Linked DNA regions of Arabidopsis thaliana. The protein of the gene in region 1 interacts with the protein of each later gene in a pairwise test. Each region holds a gene or a part of one and is shown in the gene's direction. Other genes may lie near its edges.

Region 1 (4,243 bases):
TATACATTTATCTAAGACCATGCGTTATATGATTATGATAAGAATGGAGCTCGTAAATAGTATATCAGATAAAGTTGAATGAAAAAAATAGTTGATCGGTAAAATAATATTATACTTGATTAATTGAAACATATATTGAGGATAAGCTAGAGTTACCATTTCCTATAACTATTCTACTTAGATTAGTACTCTTCGTATGAATCATATGTTACATTTTATATACACTTTGATAAAACTATTTGTTTTACATATAATTCTGTTTTGCATCAATGGACTCTCACTATTGCATCTTGTGAACTCGTCTGTTTTATTCCCCATGATGAGTGATGAAACCATCAGCCACGCCACCAATGATCTCAAACATTATTTTTATATTATAGTTACATCTGTCAACACTCAACAGTAACATCAATGTATTGTTCTGCAATGTCATCTCACATATCTTTTGCAAATTCAAAAAGTACGAGATATCTCTCTGTAGATCAAGACCATTTGGTGTTCTTTGATTCAAGACACTAGAAACAATTTGATTGTACTATAAATCCTCAATTTTTGGAAGTTTATCAACTGTTAGGACAATCGACCTGTCAGTAAATCTGAATTTCTTATATGATAGTAAATGATTTTAAAACATATCACAGCCGTCAATCAGAGAGACTGTGAGAGTCACCGTTGAAAATCACTCTTTGGTGAGTGAAAAAATGTAAAAGTAAAAGAACCAATGGGTAAGGGTCCCTCCACGTGTGCACATGCGCTTCGGTGGACGCGTGCATGCAAGAGTGTTGCCACATTAACGACGTCGTAGAATGTGATTAAGGGCACAAAACATTTTAATCAAAGAAAATTTGACTGATGGTGACGACAATGAGATGGTGGGCGTGTAGAGTTCGGAGAATGATTGTTGAGATTCCCGTAAATTACGGAGGTCCATTGGAAAACAAATCCCCGCACCAGAAGATCCATGTTCGATGTATTTTGTTGGAGAAAAAAAGCTAATTTTAATATCAAAAATATTTCTCTTTCGATAGTTGTATATATTTATCGAACATCAACTTTTATATTCATGTACATCTATCAATATCATTTTTTCGTTTTCTGAATTAAATTGACCAATATAAATGAATTATTATTGTTTCTTTTTCCTTTTTATCAACAATTATTATTGTTTCTTTTTTTCTTTTTCAAAACCAGGCTTTCCCAAAGTTTGCGGATCGCCACGTTTTAACCACTAACACCATATTGATGTTATTTGTTGTATGTGTATAAAAAAAGTTATGGCACAGTTAATGTGTTGACCATGCTTTTCATATTTGATACCTAGTTGTGAATGTATCACTGTGAAGCATCAAAAAGAAGATGAAATAATGCACCGTATAACCAAGGTGTGCACTGTGCAATGCAATGCATCATAAATTTCTCAAATTCTGTTTTTTGTATGTAAATTATTGACGTATAATGGTAAATATGATTAATAGATTCACTCATTGTTCGACAATAATCAAACTGAATATTGCTCGATAATAACTGAACATATTACATTAACAAATTACGCACTCACAATCGTCAGAACCAGCCATTATTCTCAGCTATACATTCTATATCATTTGTTATCTTTTTATAACCTTAGGTGATTTAGGTGATCCAGGTCACGGTAAGTATATATAGATTATAAACTTTTATGGAAGACTGATGACTCAATCTACAACATTGGAGAACCACAACTTTTTAATCTATACTTTACGTTCTTTAACATTTAAATTTCAAAACTGAGATGGACTTTTTTAGTTATTATATATGTTCTAACTAAGTAATGACACCAATTCAAAGATAATCTAGATTATTTAGCGTGCTTATATAGGCCTTTATTTGCTTGGCGACAGCGCTGACTGATAAGGTTGTCAGATAGAGAATTACATGTTAAATCAAATATGTGAACATACATTACATACATATATATACGAGTGATGAGATCATTATATATCACGGATTCACGGAGTGTGAAAAAAAAAACCAAATGAAGCTACGCAGTTGACAGAAAACAAACGAAAGATACACAAAAAATGTTTTTTTTTTCATAAAATCCTCATAATTGCAAAACTTAAAACATCAAAACGTATATATATCATCACAAATTTTCGGCGGAAACAAATAATAATGGACAAAAGTTTCCTAAATTATAGGGTAATACAAAAGGGTACGTGGGCCATTCGTAGCATGTGCATGCATGTGCTTCTCCTATCTCCTATTGCCCCCACCATTTTCCCTCTCCTTTTGAAACAATTAAAATGGACCCTTTCCTTCTCCTTTCTCTCTCCCTTACCTCTCTGTCTCTTTCCCTCTCTCTCGTCGAATTCACGAATTCGTGAGGTGACCGCAGATTTGTTCTTAGCAATCTTTGACGACACTAGAAGTAAACAAATTCTTAAAAAGGTATGTGTTCATGTCTCTTCTGGTTATAATAAGGAACCCTAAACGGGGAAAAAATCCAGTTTGGTTATGATTTGATGTATATTAGTATATTACATACATGTATCCCTTTGATGTATAAAGACATCATGGTTTATTACTTAGGATTAACTTACTTTTTCTTGAAAAATGACTCATAATTGAGTATATTTCTACTTGATTAGGATTTAGGATGCAGCCTACGAGCTCAATGAATGAAGAATTCCTAAAGAAATGGCAAATGGGTCTTCAAATATTCCGTCCTTCGATAGACAACACGAGCGTCCACGAGAGAAAAAAAGCAATAAAGCTCTCTGCAGACGTTGCAATGGCGTCTCTAAGAAAAGGAACAACTTGTTGGAGCCGAGCCCTAATCGAGAAAACCGCCACCGAGGACAATTTCCTCGTACGTCAGATGCTTTCCGGCATCAAAGCGGAAACGTTAATCAACAAGAAGTTGCCTAAGAAGACTGTGTGTCATAGGAAGATCGTGAGGCGAAGCAAGAAGATCTTGAGGAGGAAATCGAAATCAGCGAGCGAAGAGGCTGCAGCAAAAGCTAAGAGACTCGTCAAGAGACGGACTCAAGGATTAAGAAACGTTGTACCTGGTGGTGAGTTGATGAGCAATGACGTCTTGTTGCTTCAAGAAACGTTAGATTACATTGTGTCGCTTCAAACGCAAGTAAATGTTATGAGAAGTATTGTTGATGCTGCCGAGGCCGAAATTGAGAGATAAATGATAAAAAAAAATCTTGTTTTATTTTTTTATCTGCGGAGATTAGTTGCGAAAGCATGATGTCGATCGGATCTTGTTGTTGGTCATTAGAACCGTATGTTATTCGGACAATGCAATTGTCATACGAGGATGGAGAGATATTATAGTAAGCCATTTTGTACATAAGGAAATTTATACAATGCTTATAGAAAGTTTCTGCTACGTGATGGTGGTTTTTATTGGAACATTTCTTGGCAAATTTTTATTTTTTTTGAATTTAATTTAGTTAATGTGAGTGAATTTTAAGATATTTTTAACGCTTCGATTGCTTTTCTTGGCATGTTTTTATTTGAGAGAAAAAAATAGACAAATGTTATTTTATATTATAGATATCTGGTTCAGTTTTATTACAACTCACTCGTATTGGATAGCTCATTTGACATGTCAACCCAAAACAAATGATATATACTAGCTCATGTGAGTTTTTTTTCTGTTTTTTTTTTTCAGATTTTCAATGTTAATTAGCTCATATGAGTTGTCCAATATATATTTGACTCTTTGCTTATGTTTTTTTTTGGGTTAAAGACTTGGTTTGAAAGGATAGTACTAGTCTACTAGAACAAAACAACCAATAAGACAGCACGTGTAAAAATCAGTCTTTTTCGTATATACTCCATGTTTCATCAATCAGCATCATTTAGTATTCAGCTAAGGAAGAAGACGCTTAATGGCAACGAGGAAAAAAAAAACGTACATATTCACGTTCATTTTTTTCCTAGCTAAATTAATTAACACCGTTCAAAGATATATTATTTTGTCTCATGAAAGCTATGCCTCCCACCGATGGTATTTATCCATTTATATGTGCATCTATGTACATATGATTAATGATTCTCACTTCTCAGTTAGATCTGCATTCATTTTTGTTTGAACAAATTCTTATTAAAAAAAAAATCTTATTTGCCACGTACTTTATATGTTAGATCATGTAACAAAGGGGTATTTTCGATTTTTTCTGTATGTGGTCTAAACTGCAAGTTCTATTGACAACAACCCCAATGGTTTTTCTGTAACAGCTAACTT
Region 2 (3,881 bases), on another chromosome or scaffold:
TCAACCAATAATGGACCAATCGAACAATTAAATTAAGTTATATGAGACATGCGATTTTATTCACTTCAAAATAAAAAAATTCTTTAAATAAATTATTTTAGGCAAAGTGTAAGTGTGCGAAGAAGTTTGAAATAAATGGTCTGAACGAAGTTTTAAAGCCGATAGATACGTTTCTTTTAAGCATTTGGTTTCCTTTTCACGTTTTATAAAAGAATTAATTATGGATTTACCATTTTTTGAATGATATTTATGGATTTTGTCATTTTTTAAATAATTTGTGGATTTTGCTCTTTTTCAGTCTAAAAAATGAAATTTAGCATAGCTTTTATTCGTTATATTAAGGTTTAGTCGAGTTTTTTTTTTGTTTTTTAAGTTTAGCATTTAATATAAAATACTTATTTTTGTAAAAATAATATCGTAAATACGTACATTTATAAGTACTAAAATGACAATTTCGTAAAATTTTAGTAAAAATGACTTTTTCAAAAGATTTTGATGAAAACGGCAAAATCAACAATAATCCTTTTATAGAAAATATTTGTTTTATATCTACTATTTTTAAGTTACATTGACATTCTATAATTTTTTAAAAGTTATCACACGAAATATTTTACATATGAGGTGAAACTATTTATGGCTTAGCAGTTAGAAAACAATGTTCCATAGGAGTCAATAATTAGGCTTCTTCCTTTCTAAAACAAATGTAGTTAGTATGGAAGATAGAATTTACATAATTCTCTCTATGCTTTTTTATACAAGTTTGGAACTATATATTTTATACAAGTTTAAAATATATAGTTTGGTAATATACAAGATTTACAGATAAATATACAAACTGTACCTAGATATTGTGGAATACAAATTTAGAGAGACAATTTAGGCGATAATACTAGTTCTAATATTAGAAGAAAAAAAATTGAATGAAAAGTCATGTCATCACATGGTAGTTGCCTTTTTGTGAAATTGCAGATGAAGGGCCACAATGTTAGATGAACATGAAACACTTATCTTGACCTTCATCAACCCCATCTTTGGGAACTTTTCGTTTCCTCCATTTAACTATTCAAATCTCCTCCAATTATTCAAAAAATTTAGTACCCATTTATTTATCCACTCTATAGGAATTATACTGTAAAATTTTCAATAACTAAGCATATGTATATTTGTGATCCATTCTAGTCATAATCATTTTCTTTTTTTTTGGATAGTTGAGGCATAAAAAGTTGGGGTTTTGGTAAAACAAATCCTAAGAGAAATCTATTTTTGTAATTTTACCCTCTACTTCTAAAATATGCAGAATAATCATAAAAAAACAAAAATAATACGCAATATATTCCTTATACATATATTGTAAACGTATTCACGATCACATACATTTTAAAAAATCTAAATTAAAGAAGAGTTGAACTCTTTGTCTCGAGGGCTTCGATTTGATATAATACTTCTCAATTTTTTTAAAACTTGACGAAATCTGACAATAGCAAAAAATGTTATATTGCGTAGTATTTTTCACTTTGTAAAATTATTCTATATTTTCTGAAAGTAGAAATGGACGATTTCAAGACTTATTTTCCACAAAATCCTAAAAAGTTACGAATCTTGAAACTTGTGTATCATTTGAACTATACACAATAACTAACTAACCATGATTGAAAACGTTGTGAAATAATTCAATCCCGCCATTACCTTCGTATAATGATTGGTAATAGTCTCGACTGATGATATGTATATATACGGCTTGGAAATCTGTAATAAAAAATGATTTCGAAGTTTTGTGGTTTAAGGGCATTCAATCTATCGCTTTCTTCTCCCGTGACATCATTGTCGAGGTTTATTGCTGCTCTCCGTCGCTCTCTCTCTCTTGTGGTCCATTGGCCTATTTAAATCTCTCTTATCACATTCTCAATTTCTTTATATTTGAAGTGTATTCAAAACCCCAAAACACTTTTCTCATTCTCTTCTCTATTTTCTTCTTGCTCTCTAGTTTTTCTTTCTTCTTGGTCGTTTCCTTTCAGCATAAAAACCTTATAAAATCATAAAAGCTTACACCTACTTGCCACATAGACATAGCCGATCTCATTATATCTCTATTTCTATTTCTCAATAGAACTTGTTTGAGCTAGTGTGAGAGAAGTAAAGAAAGAGAGAAGAATCCACAACTTAGTTAGGGTCTTTTCTTGCCACATTGTTGAACATGTCGAACAGAAGATCAAGGCAATCTTCAAGTGCTCCAAGGATCTCCGATAATCAAATGATTGACCTCGTATCTAAGCTCCGTCAAATTTTGCCGGAGATTGGTCAACGACGTCGTTCTGATAAGGTATCACGCATAATATATGCATATATTCATTTATAACGACCATTTAACATTATCCATCGTGTAAACCTATCCAAAAAAGGAAAGAACAAAAGTTTTGTAAAAAGAAGAGTGGACACTAAAATCAAACAAGAAAGAAAAAAGAAGTCGGAACTTTTGACTCCGGACATTAAGGAACATATATACCAATATTCACAACCTTTTTCTTCCATATTTACATAAGAGATTACATCAAAATCATCAGCTTGCATGCATCTGCAAACGCATAAAAGCGCATGCATTGGTTCAAAAAACATATATTATAATGATTATGATTTTATTTCGTTTTTGTTGTTGAAGGCATCAGCCTCGAAAGTATTGCAAGAGACATGCAATTACATACGAAATTTGAACAGAGAAGTTGACAATCTGAGCGAGCGTTTGTCTCAGCTTCTCGAATCTGTCGATGAAGATAGCCCTGAAGCCGCCGTTATTAGAAGCCTACTCATGTAATCTTTTTTGTTCTTTTGTTTGTTTTTGACAAGCCTATCCATGTAATCTTAAATGATCGCTCTATAATAATTATATTTTTAACATAATCGTCTTATTATGTAAAATTCAAAGAGATGGGCTTGATCTTTAATGACATACGAATTTCATAGGGTTAATTCCATAGTCAAAAGTCTCCGACATATATGTGTGTAGCAGAACTGCACGAGCATTGCCTTAGCAGGTGCATTATTAAAATAAACCAGTGGGATGAAATTTGGTGGAGAAGAATCTTTCTTTTTTTCTCCCTAACAAAGAAAAAAAAAACAGAGATTGTGATGTCTGAACTCGATTGTGTCAGTCAAGGACAGTAAAATTGCGAGAGGACATTGTTAGTTGCGAGCATTTAATTTTATACGGAATAAAAAAAGTTATTTGGCACATTGTTTTTGAGGTAACAAATCATCTAAACCTCAAAATAGAGATAAAAAGCAAAAATAGAAATAGAAGACAAAATCAAATAAACTCTTAGCCATTTTGGAGGGGAAAAGAAACCCCATCTTAACTGTCACAAAAACGTTTATACACATCTAAAGGAAAGTTTTGCCTTTTAGGACGTCCACACAAAGAAATTAAATAAAAATCAACGTTATAGTTTTATTTGATATCTCATAATTCTACATGCATGTAGTTTAAAGTTTAAACACACGTATACGCATATTGATATACATGCACCCATGTACATACATTTAGACAAGTTTGGTCCTTTCAAGGCGTAGGAGACTGGTCAAATCTATCACTCCTAATTTTAAGCCATATAGCTATACCGGTTTGGTCCTTTCAGGGTTTAGGAGACTGGTCAAATCCGACTCCTAATTTTAAGCCATATAGCTATAAAAATAATCACAAGAAGAATTACATGAAAAAGGAGAGCATTCAGAGACTAGCTTTGTTACACTCTTCCACCTAAAACGATCTTAATTTTTTTTTCTTGTTACATAGATACAATTTTCAGGTCTTGTACCCTTTTTGAATTATTATTGTAAAATTTTGAGATATACTAAATAGAATAATTAAATAGCGGAAACGATTTAAA
Region 3 (4,474 bases), on another chromosome or scaffold:
GTGTATTAAATTTTATTTTGTCTTATTTGTTATATGATATTTCTTACATGCATGCATCATTTAGTTTGACTATATAGACTTTGGATAAAATTTTGTTTTAAAAAAAAAATAAAAAAATAAAATTTGTCTGCAGAGTTGTGGATTATGGGTAATTAGTTCCACATATTTCACCTATTGAAAGATGCATTCTAATGTATCAATTTTGAACGGTGGTACTGGTACATCGACGACACTAGTATGAACAATTATGATATAAATTAAACTCACTGGTTTTTGCAAATGTTCTAACTATAAAAACATTTTTCTTTGAAAATTGTTATCTCACTACCGTAGTAAAACGATGGAGATAAGAAAAGCGAGAGGTCATGTGGGAGAGGGCGTGAAGGATGGGGATGCTCCCTGATTAGAGGGGGGAAAGAGTGTCCTATCATCACATGGGAGGTTAAACTGGTTCTTATTTATAACTTCAAAATATTAAAACATAAATAGTCCCACCTTTGTGTGCTCATCAGCAAACATTTTTCTTTAATGTCCAATTTATCACACCATCTCCTTGTTTTCTAATACATATCATACATCTACTAATCATCATTCATTCATATCTTTTGCATATATCATCATCTTCATCATCATCATCACGTGTTTAGATCTAGCAAATGGTTTGTTGTTATTTATGACCAAAACAACATTACCATGTAGTATTTATATAAATCCTAAATAAAAATTGAAACTCACTGATACAATTAAAATTAAAGTATTTGTACAAAATTACATATTGACGAATGTTAGTTGGAAATCACCTGTCTAAGTTTTTTAGAACAAGTGCTCAAAGATATTGGGTTCGACAATTGATGAAATTCCACTTAGGCATTACATATAAATAAATATCGTAAGCATATACACTATCAATTGAGGTACACGTGATCGAGCTTGGACTAAAAGTGTAAGACTAGCCCCTCCCTATTGGCTAGGATAGATACCGTACGTTCCCTCAAATTGACCTAAGTCCATTGTTTTTGTTTACCCGTATCTATATAACTGAACCACAAAATCTTCTTGGTTTTACGCATCACAACGATCATAAAATAATGATATACTCATATAGGTATATCTTGAGTATATAGACAAGCTTTACACTAGCTTGTATAATAAGATAAATAGAGTGGTGATATTTTAATGTTGCATTGTTTCAGTACTTGAAATCAGAATCGTTTCCCACTTGAAAAATTAGTTTCTCTTTGATCATAGCATATCTAACAAGACATATTAGTCGAGCTTTTGGATAGTTGTCGTTTGGTCTTAAAAAATAATGATACATTCTCACAAACTCTCACCGTACCTCAAGGCTCAAGCAAAGCTAGGACATGCTATTAAGGAACTGTAACTACTATAGCTGATTATCACAAAGTCTCACCTCAATATATATAAAGATTTTAATGACTAGAATAATTATAAGTTTTGAGATAAATTATCAATGTATCCAAGTGAAAGTATTGTTTGGTATTTTCTGTCAATCTAGATATTCATTTGCGAATTCCTAATTGACGAAAAATAACAGATATTATAATGTTACTAATTAACAAAAAATAAATCTTTGAAAAGATTTACATCATTGAAATACTACAATATTAAAAATATAATAGCATTATAATATCGACAATACTTATAATACTCATATAATAATATAATAAGAAGATTTTAAATGTACATAATACAAATTATTGCAAAAAGATTTCCAGTAATAGATACTAAGTTCTACTAAAGTTTTTGAAACTTTTTAGGAAAAGCAAGATTTTGTTGGAGACTTTGGATTAATGTAATTTTCAAAAGAGAAGAAGATGGTTTTTTTTTTTCTGAATATAAGAAAATAGAAGATATATATCTATCTTCGGTGTATTTATTGTTGATAAATATGCTGTCTTTTTTTAAAGTAAATAGATAAAAGTTAGACAGACTTTTTTTTTGTCTTATGTATCTTTTTCTCTAGTTTTTTATAAATCAACTTTAAATTAATCATCAAATAATAGTAATATTAGACACATATATACATCACGATCTGATAAATTTGTAAATTCACGTGTCATGTATCCAAGACTCCAATTCTAAACCACTGTTCTCTCTTGTGCACTTGTCATCGGCATATCCAACACCCCTATTTAAGATTATTTGTATTACTCTCGCTCTCTCTCTCTCTCTCTATCTAGAAGTGGTCCTAGCTCTCTATATAACACCATTTCTTCTCCTTCTTTCTTCTCCCTTTCTTTCGACAAGCACAAACAAAGCCATCAAGAGAAGAAAGCCTTTTCTTGGATTCACATATATATAAGAATATTTTTTCAAATCAAACATGTCTTCTAGCAGAAGGTCGAGACAAGCAAGCTCATCATCAAGAATTAGCGATGACCAGATCACTGATCTCATCTCAAAGCTCCGACAGTCCATTCCGGAGATTCGCCAGAACCGTCGTTCCAACACGGTAAATCTTTTCAAAAGTTACTGTGTTTCTTCTATGTACCAAGGTTTTGGCATAGTCACATAAGTTTTACTTTGATGATATTTATTTAGGGTTAGCTATTATGTTTAATAGAGAATCACGCATATACAAGTATACAACATGTTAGAATAGTGCATTATAGTCATAGAAGTACGTGTGGGAGACTGCATTTTGAAGTTTCTAAAATTACTTTTGACCATTAACCGGACTTTGAGGAGAGGGGAACATATTTTCCCTAACTTCAGCATTAAGCTTCTAGTTAATTTTACTTTTATTATTGATTAACTACATTGAATGTGAGACGACTATATTGCTTCACGGACCATCAATTCAATACATTTATGTACAGCACCGACTAATTTTTATATTTGGTTTTCTTAGTTTCTATATAACAAGAAAAGTACGAACTCTAGAAAAATAAGAAAAAGCTGGTTTCTATAAATGGAAGCATCGTTTTCTTATAGTACACACAACCAATCAGATTTGTTCTCAATTTCAAAACAATGTGTTGGTTAAGTTATGAGCATTTTTATTTTTTTGATAAAGTATGGGCATTTTATCTTAAGCTTTAGGTTTAACTTTTAACCTATGCATAGTGTAGTATGTCAAGCAACTAGCGTCAATATATTTTCTTACATTATTAACACGCATCATAACTTCAAGCTAAGACTTGTTTCTGTTGTTGTTAAAGCAAGCTAAGACTTGTTTGAATATTTATATTGAATCCTTACTATAAAATGTACAATTGTGAAAATTGTTTGTAGGTATCAGCGTCGAAAGTGTTACAAGAGACTTGCAACTACATAAGAAACTTGAACAAGGAAGCCGATGACCTCAGTGATCGATTGACTCAGCTTCTGGAATCCATTGATCCTAATAGCCCACAAGCCGCAGTTATTAGGAGCTTGATTAATGGATAATTAAGATATAAATTGATTAGTTGTGCTTTATATATATAAGCTTAAAATCTCGTTGGGAGGTTGATCCATCAGGGTGTTGCATAATTATATATCTATTTTATGTTTCTTATATATTATTTACAATCCTATCTAGTTAGGGTTCATATTTTGACCCTTTTTTGGTTTAACGTCATGCATGCAATTCCATTAAGCTTAAAAATTATAATAAATAAGATTTCGAGTAATTATTTAATTTAAATCCTTTTATATTATATTGTAAGTGTGTCCATTTGTATGTGTGTTAATGCGTTATACAAATGGATATACTATATAAGTATATATGGCACCCAAGAGGTTAATTAATTTCAAAGTTAATTTAGACTTATCTTCGAAATAGATAGAAAAGTTGATTAATACTATCATTTAAAGCGTACATGATTATCAATTTTGCATGAAAACGTAATAGGATGACTCAAACCTACCAGACTCACATAAAAAATAATATCTCAACCATTATACCACTATACATTGTTACAAATTACAAACTACAGAATGAAACAAAATCTATATTTATTAGCTTCTCACATATTAAAAAAAATAAAAAATCCAACAAATGTTTTTGAAAACAGACCCATCGTGCATTATATTTGATAATAAAGATAACATTTACACTAGTTTGCTATAAAATTTAGTATTTAATTACCTACAATAATTTTACATATATATATATATATATATCTGTATAAAATTCCCTAAAATATTTGAAGGTTTAGAAAACAGGTATATGAAGTTTAAACATGCGTATCATACAATCTAGTTAGTGTAAGTATTTACAGTCAAAATGTATGAACCCCGCGATGAAAAGTAAGATGAGTGAGCAGTTTTTAGAAAACTCTTCGGCTGATATATCACACGAATCTTGCTTATTAATGTTGCAAGAAGGACACAATAAAGTAACACGATTTTTGGCAACAAAAAAAAGAAGTATATATAATTAGTACAAAGTTCACCATAAATTAAATCACATTCTAAAAAGGAGTTTGTCGTCTTTTGTTAGCAGATGTGAAATATAGATGACGTT

Evidence for each region.
Region 2: the proteins of AT4G30410 (region 1) and PRE1 interact in a two-hybrid assay, tested with the Arabidopsis thaliana proteins (one large-scale study listed by BioGRID).
Region 3: the proteins of AT4G30410 (region 1) and BNQ2 interact in a two-hybrid assay, tested with the Arabidopsis thaliana proteins (one large-scale study listed by BioGRID).

Annotation. Positions count from the first base shown.
Region 1 is NC_003075.7:14,870,247-14,874,489, reverse strand, and holds AT4G30410 (sequence-specific DNA binding transcription factor), read left to right. Parts: upstream 1-2,222; 5' UTR 2,223-2,638; coding exon 2,639-3,181; 3' UTR 3,182-3,506; downstream 3,507-4,243. UniProt on the Arabidopsis thaliana protein: Functions redundandly with IBH1/BHLH158 in a regulation node known as the incoherent feed-forward loop (FFL).
Region 2 is NC_003076.8:15,955,495-15,959,375, forward strand, and holds PRE1 (basic helix-loop-helix (bHLH) DNA-binding family protein), read left to right. Parts: upstream 1-1,873; 5' UTR 1,874-2,194; coding exon 2,195-2,320; intron 2,321-2,656; coding exon 2,657-2,809; 3' UTR 2,810-3,065; downstream 3,066-3,881. UniProt on the Arabidopsis thaliana protein: Atypical and probable non DNA-binding bHLH transcription factor that integrates multiple signaling pathways to regulate cell elongation and plant development.
Region 3 is NC_003076.8:4,920,427-4,924,900, reverse strand, and holds BNQ2 (BANQUO 2), read left to right. Parts: upstream 1-2,088; 5' UTR 2,089-2,347; coding exon 2,348-2,476; intron 2,477-3,258; coding exon 3,259-3,414; 3' UTR 3,415-3,658; downstream 3,659-4,474.